Linked DNA regions of Saccharomyces cerevisiae S288C. The protein of the gene in region 2 binds, or shares a complex with, the protein of the main gene of each other region. Each region holds a gene or a part of one and is shown on either strand. Other genes may lie near its edges. The genes, in order: SEC23 and SEC24. A codon is read from its position in the direction of its gene.

Region 1 (4,621 bases), on a different chromosome or scaffold from region 2:
CTCTTGGAAGAGGAAGCTTGGCGAGAAGCTCGAGGGCAATCTTGAAACCTTGCGAGTTGATGTCCCTAGGGTTGCAGTTTTCGAGGTACTTCTTTTGTAGACCGAAGAACCCGCTCATGGGGTCGGAGGCGATGGTCAAAGGTCTGGCCATCATTCTAGCAGTGGAGGAAATGACGCGTCTGTACATAGGCCAGTCCTTGTCAATGCCGACACCTGGGGCATATCTGGTGCCCAGAGTAAAGGCGTGATCGTGCAAAGACTCGAACAACTTGGGCACGGTCTCTGGAGGGTGTTGTAGGTCTGCGTCCATGCATACCAGGTACTGACCCTTGGCCTCGTAGAAACCCTTAAGCACGGCGGAGGATAGACCACGTTCATTTGTCCTGACGATGATGCGGACGTTGTAGCCTTGGTGAGCTAGGGCGTCCACCTCCTCAACGGAGCCATCCTGTGAGTTGTCATCGACAAAGATCAACTCGGTCTTCTTGGCCATTTCAGGGCTCATGCCGGCAAACAATCTGGTTGTTAAGGGTTTGATGTTCAGCTTTTCATGGTAAGCGGGAACGATAACAGAGTATTCGATGCTCATTGTGGGTGCGTGTATGTTTGTGTGTAATTGAAGCGATAGCGTTATTACAATAGCGGTCTATATGAGTTAGGAACACGTAAGAATACTGAAAATTTTTCAAATACTGGAAATCCTTTATTTTTCCACGCTATTTGTCATGCGAGGGAAATCCAGAGGCAGGAATAAGGAAGAAAAATAGAACAATATAAAGCAAGAAAATAAAAAAAAAATACGCGATGCGAGTGCTATAGAATGATATTGTATTACAGTAGAGGGCGTATGTAAATATACTGGTATGTAAGGGAGATGAGCACAGTCGTCTTAGTTCGGCAGCTCCCTGATGTACAGCACGTTATTGCAGCGGATGAATATCTCGCCCAGGGTGCCGTGCGAGACACCCGCAACAAACTCTTCTGCTTCGTTCAGCTGCAGGTTAAAGTAGTTGTCCGTGGACACGAGCGTACCTCTATATTCGGTGCTGTTGAACTTAAGCTTGACGCCTACACGATGGTTGACCAGGCCTTTGAGGAACGGCTTCGGGTTCACCGGCTGCATCGCGCTGATATCACTGCTCTCGCTCATTGTCTTGTTGTGTTGTGACGTAGTGTGTGGTGTGGTATAGTACGCGGTGCTGTGTGTGCTGTGCTGTTTTTGCGTTGCTCATAGAACCGTTGTTTCTTGCTCTTACCATCTCATGTTCATATATGTTGGGGAAAAGAGGTGGAACAAGAAAAGTTACCCGGACGGCAGAGCGGTTGTTTTGCCTGCTTTGCCATAATACAGGATGGGATCACACACCCCCCAAGCCATGCTACAACTTGGAAGAGTGCAATTCAAGTTGGTTGTCCTCAGTAGTTTGAGAGATTGCGCTAATTTTGTTTTATCACCGTTATTTACTGTCAGTTGAGATTTGTCGCTTGCGACGACTAGCCCGCCGCCTCTCGTTTGTTACAAAGGAGGAAAGTTCTAGCAAGAATAAAAGAAAAACACGTTTGAAAAAAGAAAAAAAGATACTTGTTGTGATCTTTCCACGTTCAGCAAGACACACAATTAACTGAAGCCAGTGTTTATCTGTCTGTCGCCTGCCTCCCCTTCCTCTTTTCTAGCCATGGACTTCGAGACTAATGAAGACATCAACGGGGTCCGTTTCACCTGGAACGTGTTTCCCTCTACTAGAAGCGACGCTAACAGCAACGTCGTCCCTGTGGGCTGTTTGTACACACCTTTGAAGGAGTATGACGAATTGAACGTTGCCCCATACAATCCAGTTGTGTGTTCCGGTCCACACTGTAAGTCGATTCTAAATCCTTACTGTGTGATTGATCCGCGCAATTCGTCCTGGAGTTGTCCCATCTGTAACTCCAGGAACCATTTACCTCCACAGTACACCAACTTGTCACAGGAGAATATGCCGCTAGAGTTACAGTCCACCACCATTGAGTACATCACCAATAAGCCCGTTACCGTTCCTCCCATTTTCTTCTTTGTTGTGGATTTGACTTCGGAAACCGAGAACCTCGATTCGCTAAAGGAGTCTATCATCACTTCTTTGTCTCTATTACCTCCCAACGCGCTGATTGGGTTGATCACTTACGGAAACGTTGTTCAATTGCACGATCTGTCCAGCGAAACTATTGACAGGTGCAACGTGTTCAGAGGAGACAGGGAGTACCAGCTCGAAGCGTTGACGGAAATGTTGACCGGCCAAAAGCCTACCGGCCCCGGCGGTGCTGCATCTCATCTACCGAACGCCATGAACAAAGTTACGCCCTTCTCTTTGAATAGGTTCTTCCTGCCCTTGGAACAGGTCGAGTTCAAACTGAATCAATTACTGGAAAATCTGTCTCCAGACCAATGGTCTGTTCCAGCGGGTCATAGGCCATTAAGGGCCACAGGTTCCGCTTTGAACATTGCATCTTTGCTTTTACAGGGCTGCTATAAGAACATCCCAGCAAGAATCATTCTTTTCGCCTCCGGTCCAGGCACCGTGGCCCCAGGTTTGATTGTTAACTCAGAGTTAAAAGATCCCTTAAGATCCCACCACGACATCGATTCTGATCACGCGCAACATTACAAGAAGGCCTGTAAGTTTTACAACCAGATTGCACAAAGAGTTGCCGCCAATGGACACACTGTTGATATTTTTGCCGGTTGTTACGATCAAATCGGTATGTCTGAAATGAAACAGTTGACCGACTCTACTGGAGGTGTGTTGTTGCTAACCGATGCCTTCTCTACCGCGATTTTTAAGCAATCATACTTGAGATTGTTTGCCAAGGATGAAGAAGGGTATTTGAAGATGGCTTTCAATGGTAATATGGCAGTCAAGACAAGTAAAGACTTGAAGGTACAAGGTTTGATTGGGCATGCTTCTGCTGTAAAGAAGACAGACGCTAACAACATCAGTGAATCTGAAATCGGTATAGGTGCAACGTCCACCTGGAAGATGGCTTCCTTATCGCCTTATCACTCGTATGCGATTTTCTTTGAAATTGCAAACACTGCGGCTAATTCTAACCCAATGATGTCTGCCCCTGGTTCAGCAGATAGACCTCATCTAGCATATACTCAATTCATCACTACTTATCAACACTCCTCTGGTACCAACCGTATCAGAGTCACCACGGTCGCAAACCAGCTTTTGCCCTTCGGTACTCCTGCCATTGCAGCTTCTTTCGATCAAGAAGCTGCTGCCGTTTTGATGGCTCGTATTGCTGTTCACAAGGCTGAAACCGATGATGGTGCAGATGTTATTAGATGGTTAGACAGAACTTTGATTAAGCTATGTCAAAAGTACGCCGACTATAATAAAGATGATCCTCAATCTTTCAGGTTGGCTCCAAATTTCTCACTGTATCCTCAATTTACCTATTATTTAAGAAGATCCCAATTCTTAAGTGTCTTTAACAATTCTCCGGATGAAACTGCATTTTATAGACATATTTTCACAAGAGAGGATACGACTAATTCTTTAATCATGATTCAACCAACTCTAACTTCTTTCTCAATGGAGGACGATCCACAACCGGTATTATTAGACTCTATCTCCGTCAAACCCAATACCATTCTATTATTAGATACATTTTTCTTCATCTTAATATACCACGGTGAGCAAATCGCTCAATGGAGAAAAGCCGGTTACCAAGACGATCCACAGTACGCAGATTTCAAAGCTCTTCTTGAAGAGCCAAAATTAGAAGCCGCAGAATTGTTAGTAGATAGGTTCCCGCTACCAAGATTCATTGATACTGAAGCCGGTGGTTCTCAAGCCAGATTCTTGTTATCTAAATTGAATCCTTCCGATAACTATCAAGACATGGCGCGCGGAGGATCTACAATTGTCTTAACAGATGATGTTTCCTTACAAAATTTCATGACTCACTTACAACAAGTAGCCGTCTCTGGTCAGGCATAGGAGCAACGGCTTTCTTTTGTTTTATTTGATCGTTATTAGGCTTTTTGTATAATATAAGGCCTGTTCAGTCCATTGCGCGTGCAAGAATTTTCCTTTGGACCTGAACGAAAAGAGTAGAGGATTTTATATAATATATTCTCCGTCTTTTTTGTACTGCGTGGCCTTTACTACGAATATCTGTATCTAATTTCTTTTCTAACTTTTTTATTACCATTACTACTACTACTATTATTATTATTATTATTATTATTATTATTATTATTATTGTGTATGACTATAATGCTTTACTGCCTCCAATTATGCTTTTTTTATTATTTTTTTTGGCTGAAACTACAGTATAGTAGGTATGTATATATCTAAAACTCAAAAAGTGGCATGTCTAATGTAATACCATCAAAAACAATGAAATTATTTAATGGAGATAGCCTTTTACCTAGAATGTTAATGACATCCTGCGCTACAGCACCCCCTATAATGGCCGCGACAGGAGCAAACTCGATACCTTTCTGTTTGATAAACTGTTGTATGTAATCGTCCTTTACCACTGTTGCTGGTACACCCAGATTTTCACACCATACGGCCGCATCTCTTTTCATTTGTTCAAAGCTTATGGCCTTGCCCTTTTGGTTGAGACCATA
Region 2 (5,132 bases):
TTTGACTGACTATAATGCCAGTGTATTAAGATTAGTTACCATACCGAATTTGGTTATAACATGGGCTAAAACGGTTTTGACAAAGGAACAATGGTACGCCTTACAGAAAGACGAATGTGAAGATATTCCAATAAATAATGAGGAACTGCTTCTTACCTCAAAGCTGTTAGCTGCCTTTTACGACGATGTACAAAGCAGGAATATCAGCGTCACTCTTATATCAGGATCGTGGGGACGTAAATTTAGTAATTTGATCCATGAAGTACTCTCAGGTAGCCAAAAAGTCCTTTCATTATCCTCAGAAACAATTTATCAACCTGACAATTTGCCCGTTATAGCGGAAACAATACTTGACATACACAATTTACCACAAACCGATGTCAAAACTTACGTAGCCGCAAAGGATATTTATTTTGGAGTCGGTGGTAGCATCACTGAATTTGAAGCTTATTTGGACGACAAAATAAACTCCGAACATCTACCAATTCATTCTGAAAGGTTTAAAGTTAACTCTGGCTTAAAAAGGTCGATTATATGCATTGAAACAAATAAAGCTATCCGATAGTTAGTATAATTTGTTTCAACTTCATTTCCTTAAGTTAATCCATAAGTCTTTTACTGTATCTTTTATTTATAACATGGATGAAAATAGAAAAGAAATATAGAAGTAAAAATTAAAGTAACTGTTCAATATACATAATATAATTGGAAAGCAAAAATGCAACCAACAAAAATATACAGTTTCTTTTTATCATTGATTCCCTTTTAGCCTTATTTGCTAATTCTGGCTTTCATGATTTGTAAGAATTCTCTGTAACTTTCGTTATTCAAAATCTTATCCTCCACTAAGGTGCTAGAAGCCCATAGTCTTAGCGTTGCAACTTCCCTAGCAGATGCATGGTTAACGGGCTCGCTCAAAGAGGCACCCCTAACAATATACAATGATTGGTAAGTGATGACATCATCATGGTTTCTCAATTGGTTGATAATGTTTCTTACTCTTTGATTGAATTCAGAATTTTCAACAACAGGTATTTCCTGTTTGCCAATTGGAATGTCAAAGATATCCTGTGTTCCAAACACATCGAATACTAGCGCTGGTACAGCGTCACCACCCATCCACAAAAACAATTCGTTACCATTATCTATCAAGTATAGACCGTATCTTTCAAACAACGAAGAGGTAGCATTGATTGGTTGAGGCAAAACAATTGTGCCAGTAGCTTCACCATCTTCAGTTTGCACTGGTAACCCAGCCTCATCAGCCATATCATGCAGCGAATAAACATCAGGGTAGATGTTTTTGATTAGATATTTCAAAGGTAATGATTCTAAGTTGTTCAAGGCCGAGGCGCGATGGTCACTTGGGACAATACCAGATCTAAATGCCATATGCTTAGTTAAAGAATGCATTAACAATGGGAACATTCTCAAATTGGCACATAACCTCAATGGGGCCCCCCCTGCAGTGTTGGACACCACTATTTCCTTCTTGTACGTGGCTAAGATATCTTGCACGGATTTGTTGATCAATACTCTTGCATCGTCCAAACTGGAATTCAATGCTTTCTCCACCGCCTTCGAGTTGTAAAACGACGCTATAGCTAATTGGTCAGCAGATGCGTAGACTTCTGCCAACGATTCCGTGGTTGGCATAGCCAATGTTATAATTCTTATTCTACGTTGACTATTATTCAGAGATAAAAGTACCGCTACTTGAACATAACAATAGTCAGCCATAATGGATTCATCAACGTTAACTTCGAATAAGTATGATTGATCTCTTGGCATGGTGGAAAATGCACATAAATCAGATGATCTATTGAAGAAGTGACCATAGAATCTACTCATTCTCAAACCTGTGGAACCACGGGCTCTCATTACGGTTTCCATACAGAAATCCATGGAAATGTGCTTGGCAAACTCAGTGGAAAATTTGACAATATCATTTGGGTTCTTGCCTGAAAAACCAGGATAGAAATGCGTTTGACCAGCAGTGAAACGACTCAAATTCGATAGTGATGCAACGTCCATATAATCTTCAGAAGCCAAAAATAAATCGACAGTAATCTGTACTTTAGAACAATCGATGGTGAAATTCTTATAAAATGAGTCTTGACAGGAAAGTAGTTGTGCAGTTTCCTTGGATGTATTAACAACACCACTTTCATTTCTCCTTTGTAATTTTCCTATGCCTAAGTTGGGCAAAGTACCTGACACAACAATTATTTTACCACCAACGCCACCAATTAAATGATAAGCGGATTTCAAAGCGGGGCCCAGTGCGAAATTTGTGATTAAATTAGATTGGAAGATTTGAGGAATCTTGGTCAATAAAGTTTCAATGTTTTGTCTGCAGGCCTTTAAGGACACAACCATAGAGTTTGGTCTGGGCAAGAAAGGCTCTTCCAGGTCGGCAATATCCATCATGTTGATTTGATCGGCGGACTCTTCATTGTTTTCAGAATCCAATGGGATTTTAAAGTAGTGAATGGCGTTGTCTACACATAAGATGGAAATTCTGGTTCTTTCATCATGGTTTGGAATGGAATCAAGATTTTGCAAAAGGGTGTTGATGGTAGTGGCCAGTAACCCACTCTTGATAGAGGACTGGGAGACATCGATCAGGAAACAGTAAGTGGCTGGAGGTGGTTGTCTTAGAGTATATTCCTTTGGGGCCATATATTCCATCACAGCACATTTGATTTCATTTCTGTCGTATCTACTCTTTGGGTCGTTTGGATCGCTCTGGTCCATTTGCATAGGAACGTCATTGGCCAGACGACAAAAGTTACATCTCCATCTTCTGCCTTGCTCGATAAAAGTGACAAAAGGGTTCATGTAAGAACGACAACGACGACAACGGACAATAAGTCCATCTTCATTCAATGGAGGCGGGTCGATATCGTCGTACAAGTGTTGGTATGGTCTGATAACAAGCCCAAATGGAAGTTTAGACTTCTTCAGCAGGGAGCTGTTCTTAGGAACGGCGTTCAAGGTCGACCTGATATAATCTGGAGACGCATTGGACAATTCAGAAGGAACTAACATCCTTTCTGGAGGAATAACCAACGGTGGGGGAGGCAAGGTCAGATCGGTAATTGGAGGAGGCAATTCCGTCAACAGATCGATTGGATACAACTGGTTCATGGGCCTCATGTTTTGGCCCATTGCGGCGCTAGGTTGGCCATACGCAGGCGCTGCCATTGGTTGTTGCTGTTGCTGCAAAGGTGTGCCCATTTGCACGGGAACCTGTGGCTGCATATAAGCGTTAGGATCGACTAGCGGTACGTTGTGCAGATGCATATCGTTCATGGAAGTGGTGGCCTGATCAATTTGCTGGTGTAACTGTTCTTGAGCAGGGGTTAGGAATTGTTGCTGCCCCATGGAAGGGACTGCACCCTGTGGCGGCATTCCCATCTGACCATAGCTCATTCCAGCTGCAGCAGGATCCTGCGGAGGCATGAATTGTGCTGGCTGTTGTAGAGGGGTGGCATTTTGTCCATACTGGAGCTGAGCTTGTGGGTAAACACGTTTCTTGTGATGAGACATTTTGCAGATGGTCTCAGACTTATATATTTATGTCTGTTTCAATGCGGCAAAAATGGACCTGAGTGCCAGATAAAACCTTTTTGTAGTGCTATTTTTGGCCTGTTTCCTGATGTACCATCCTCCTTACATAGTTTTGTTTTTCTTCGTTTTCGTTCTTCCAGTTTTCATTTTCTTCTGCCGTAAATGGAAAAAACAAGAAAAAAAAAAAGAGAACAGCTAAGCGTTAACAAATCTGCTCCAGTGGCCATGTCCAAGACTGTTTTTCAAGCCCAGATAGTGCCTGAATAGACTGCATTAAGCTGAAAAACTTATAGCAGTGGTTAGTGCAAAATGCACACTTGTCAGTGCTATGTATATTTGTGACACGATTCTATCACCCAAACATAGCACTAATTACTTTTTTGTTACCCGGCATTCTAGGCGGAAATTTGCTGAAATTTTCCATCAATTAATTACGTAACCTATTCTTTTAAGAGCATGATGTTGTATATAAATATAGATCACCTTAGGAACAGTCAGGCTTTCTTAGGTTTCAGAAGTTCATGTGTCTTGGCGCAGTCAATTCTCTCGATCTTTTTTTGGTTTGGACGTTTAAGAGTAGCGGTCGCCGGAAAATAGAGAGAAAAAGGAAATTTAAAAGGAGTTCTTCTTTCTTCTTATTATTAGATCGTATACAGTAAAAAAAAAAAAAGGAAGTAGTAGTTCGAAGAGAAAGAAATAAATGGTAGGCTCGAAGGATATTGATCTATTCAACCTGAGAGAGAACGAGCAAATCGTTTCTCCTTGTCTTATCGTGCACGGAAAATGCAATAAGCAAAATGGTGCGAAGACCGTTCAAGTGCAGCATCCACAATTGCCTCCAATTACTTACCCCATACATAATCAGTTCTTCAAGGCCACTGTGATATTGACTCCTGGTGAGAACAAGTTGACCTTTGTTACAGACACTAACACCGCTAGGACAATCGTATGTTACTACACACCACTGACGCAGAACCCTCCCGTACACCTGTGTCTGATCTTGGCCAAGGATTCGCCTTTACAGTTTGACTCTCCTCGAGAACAGAAGGACAGAGAGGGCGGGAATGGCCTCGAATTGGCAATCAAGAAGCTAAGACTTGGGGCCAGACTCATGCAAGCGTACACGAACGAGCAAATGCTGAGAAACAGTATGGGAAATAGGACGTTTCCCTTTGTTGAAGAATTTACCTGGGACACGCTGTTCGAACGGCCTGCTATGAGAAACACCATCAAAATACATGTAGTTCGTTCGGAAAAGACGGTGAAGGAAATCCAGGACCCTGACATAGCTCAACAGAATTCCAAAGGGAAAAACACCGGCGCCCTTTTTGGGATAGCCATGGACGCCCTTAAAAGTTACGGCGGACCCTTCACCAATAACGAAAAGCCTGTTCAGGCAGCTTGTATGTTTCTAGACACCCACTGGGATGGTAAGTTGATTAGAGGCCACGCCGCATTGGGTGGGGGTGACGACAGCATTAAGCTCGCCATTTTTGGGTCGCACGGGCTTTACTCATGGCCTACTTGTCTCGAGCAATTGGTGCCTTATTTTACTGATG

What was found.
Region 1: the proteins of SEC24 (region 2) and SEC23 are in contact, whole or in part, in a crystal structure (PDB 1M2V), measured with the Saccharomyces cerevisiae proteins. Residues at the interface, in NP_012157.3 of Saccharomyces cerevisiae: His355 (codon at 2,490), Gln372 (codon at 2,439), Ile373 (codon at 2,436), Asn374 (codon at 2,433), Met375 (codon at 2,430), Met376 (codon at 2,427), Asp377 (codon at 2,424), Ile378 (codon at 2,421), Ala379 (codon at 2,418), Asp380 (codon at 2,415), Glu382 (codon at 2,409), Glu383 (codon at 2,406), Phe385 (codon at 2,400), Leu386 (codon at 2,397), Pro387 (codon at 2,394), Arg388 (codon at 2,391), Pro389 (codon at 2,388), Asn390 (codon at 2,385), Lys409 (codon at 2,328), Gln412 (codon at 2,319), Ile413 (codon at 2,316); in NP_015507.1 of Saccharomyces cerevisiae: Val165 (codon at 2,169), Thr175 (codon at 2,199), Ile176 (codon at 2,202), Asp177 (codon at 2,205), Arg178 (codon at 2,208), Cys179 (codon at 2,211), Asn180 (codon at 2,214), Val181 (codon at 2,217), Phe182 (codon at 2,220), Arg183 (codon at 2,223), Arg186 (codon at 2,232), Tyr188 (codon at 2,238), Met196 (codon at 2,262), Gln240 (codon at 2,394), Gln249 (codon at 2,421), Trp250 (codon at 2,424).

The regions. Positions count from the first base shown.
Region 1 is NC_001148.4:896,723-901,343, reverse strand, and holds SEC23 (GTPase-activating protein SEC23), read left to right. Parts: upstream 1-1,676; coding exon 1,677-3,983; downstream 3,984-4,621. Other genes in the region: DPM1 (dolichyl-phosphate beta-D-mannosyltransferase), read right to left, coding at 1-589; mRNA splicing protein SMX3, read right to left, coding at 890-1,150; E1 ubiquitin-activating protein AOS1, read right to left, coding at 4,340-4,621. UniProt on the Saccharomyces cerevisiae protein: Component of the coat protein complex II (COPII) which promotes the formation of transport vesicles from the endoplasmic reticulum (ER).
Region 2 is NC_001141.2:156,614-161,745, forward strand, and holds SEC24 (COPII subunit SEC24), read right to left. Parts: upstream 3,553-5,132; coding exon 772-3,552; downstream 1-771. Other genes in the region: HPM1 (protein-histidine N-methyltransferase), read left to right, coding at 1-565; YIL108W (putative metalloendopeptidase), read left to right, coding at 4,274-5,132. UniProt on the Saccharomyces cerevisiae protein: Component of the coat protein complex II (COPII) which promotes the formation of transport vesicles from the endoplasmic reticulum (ER).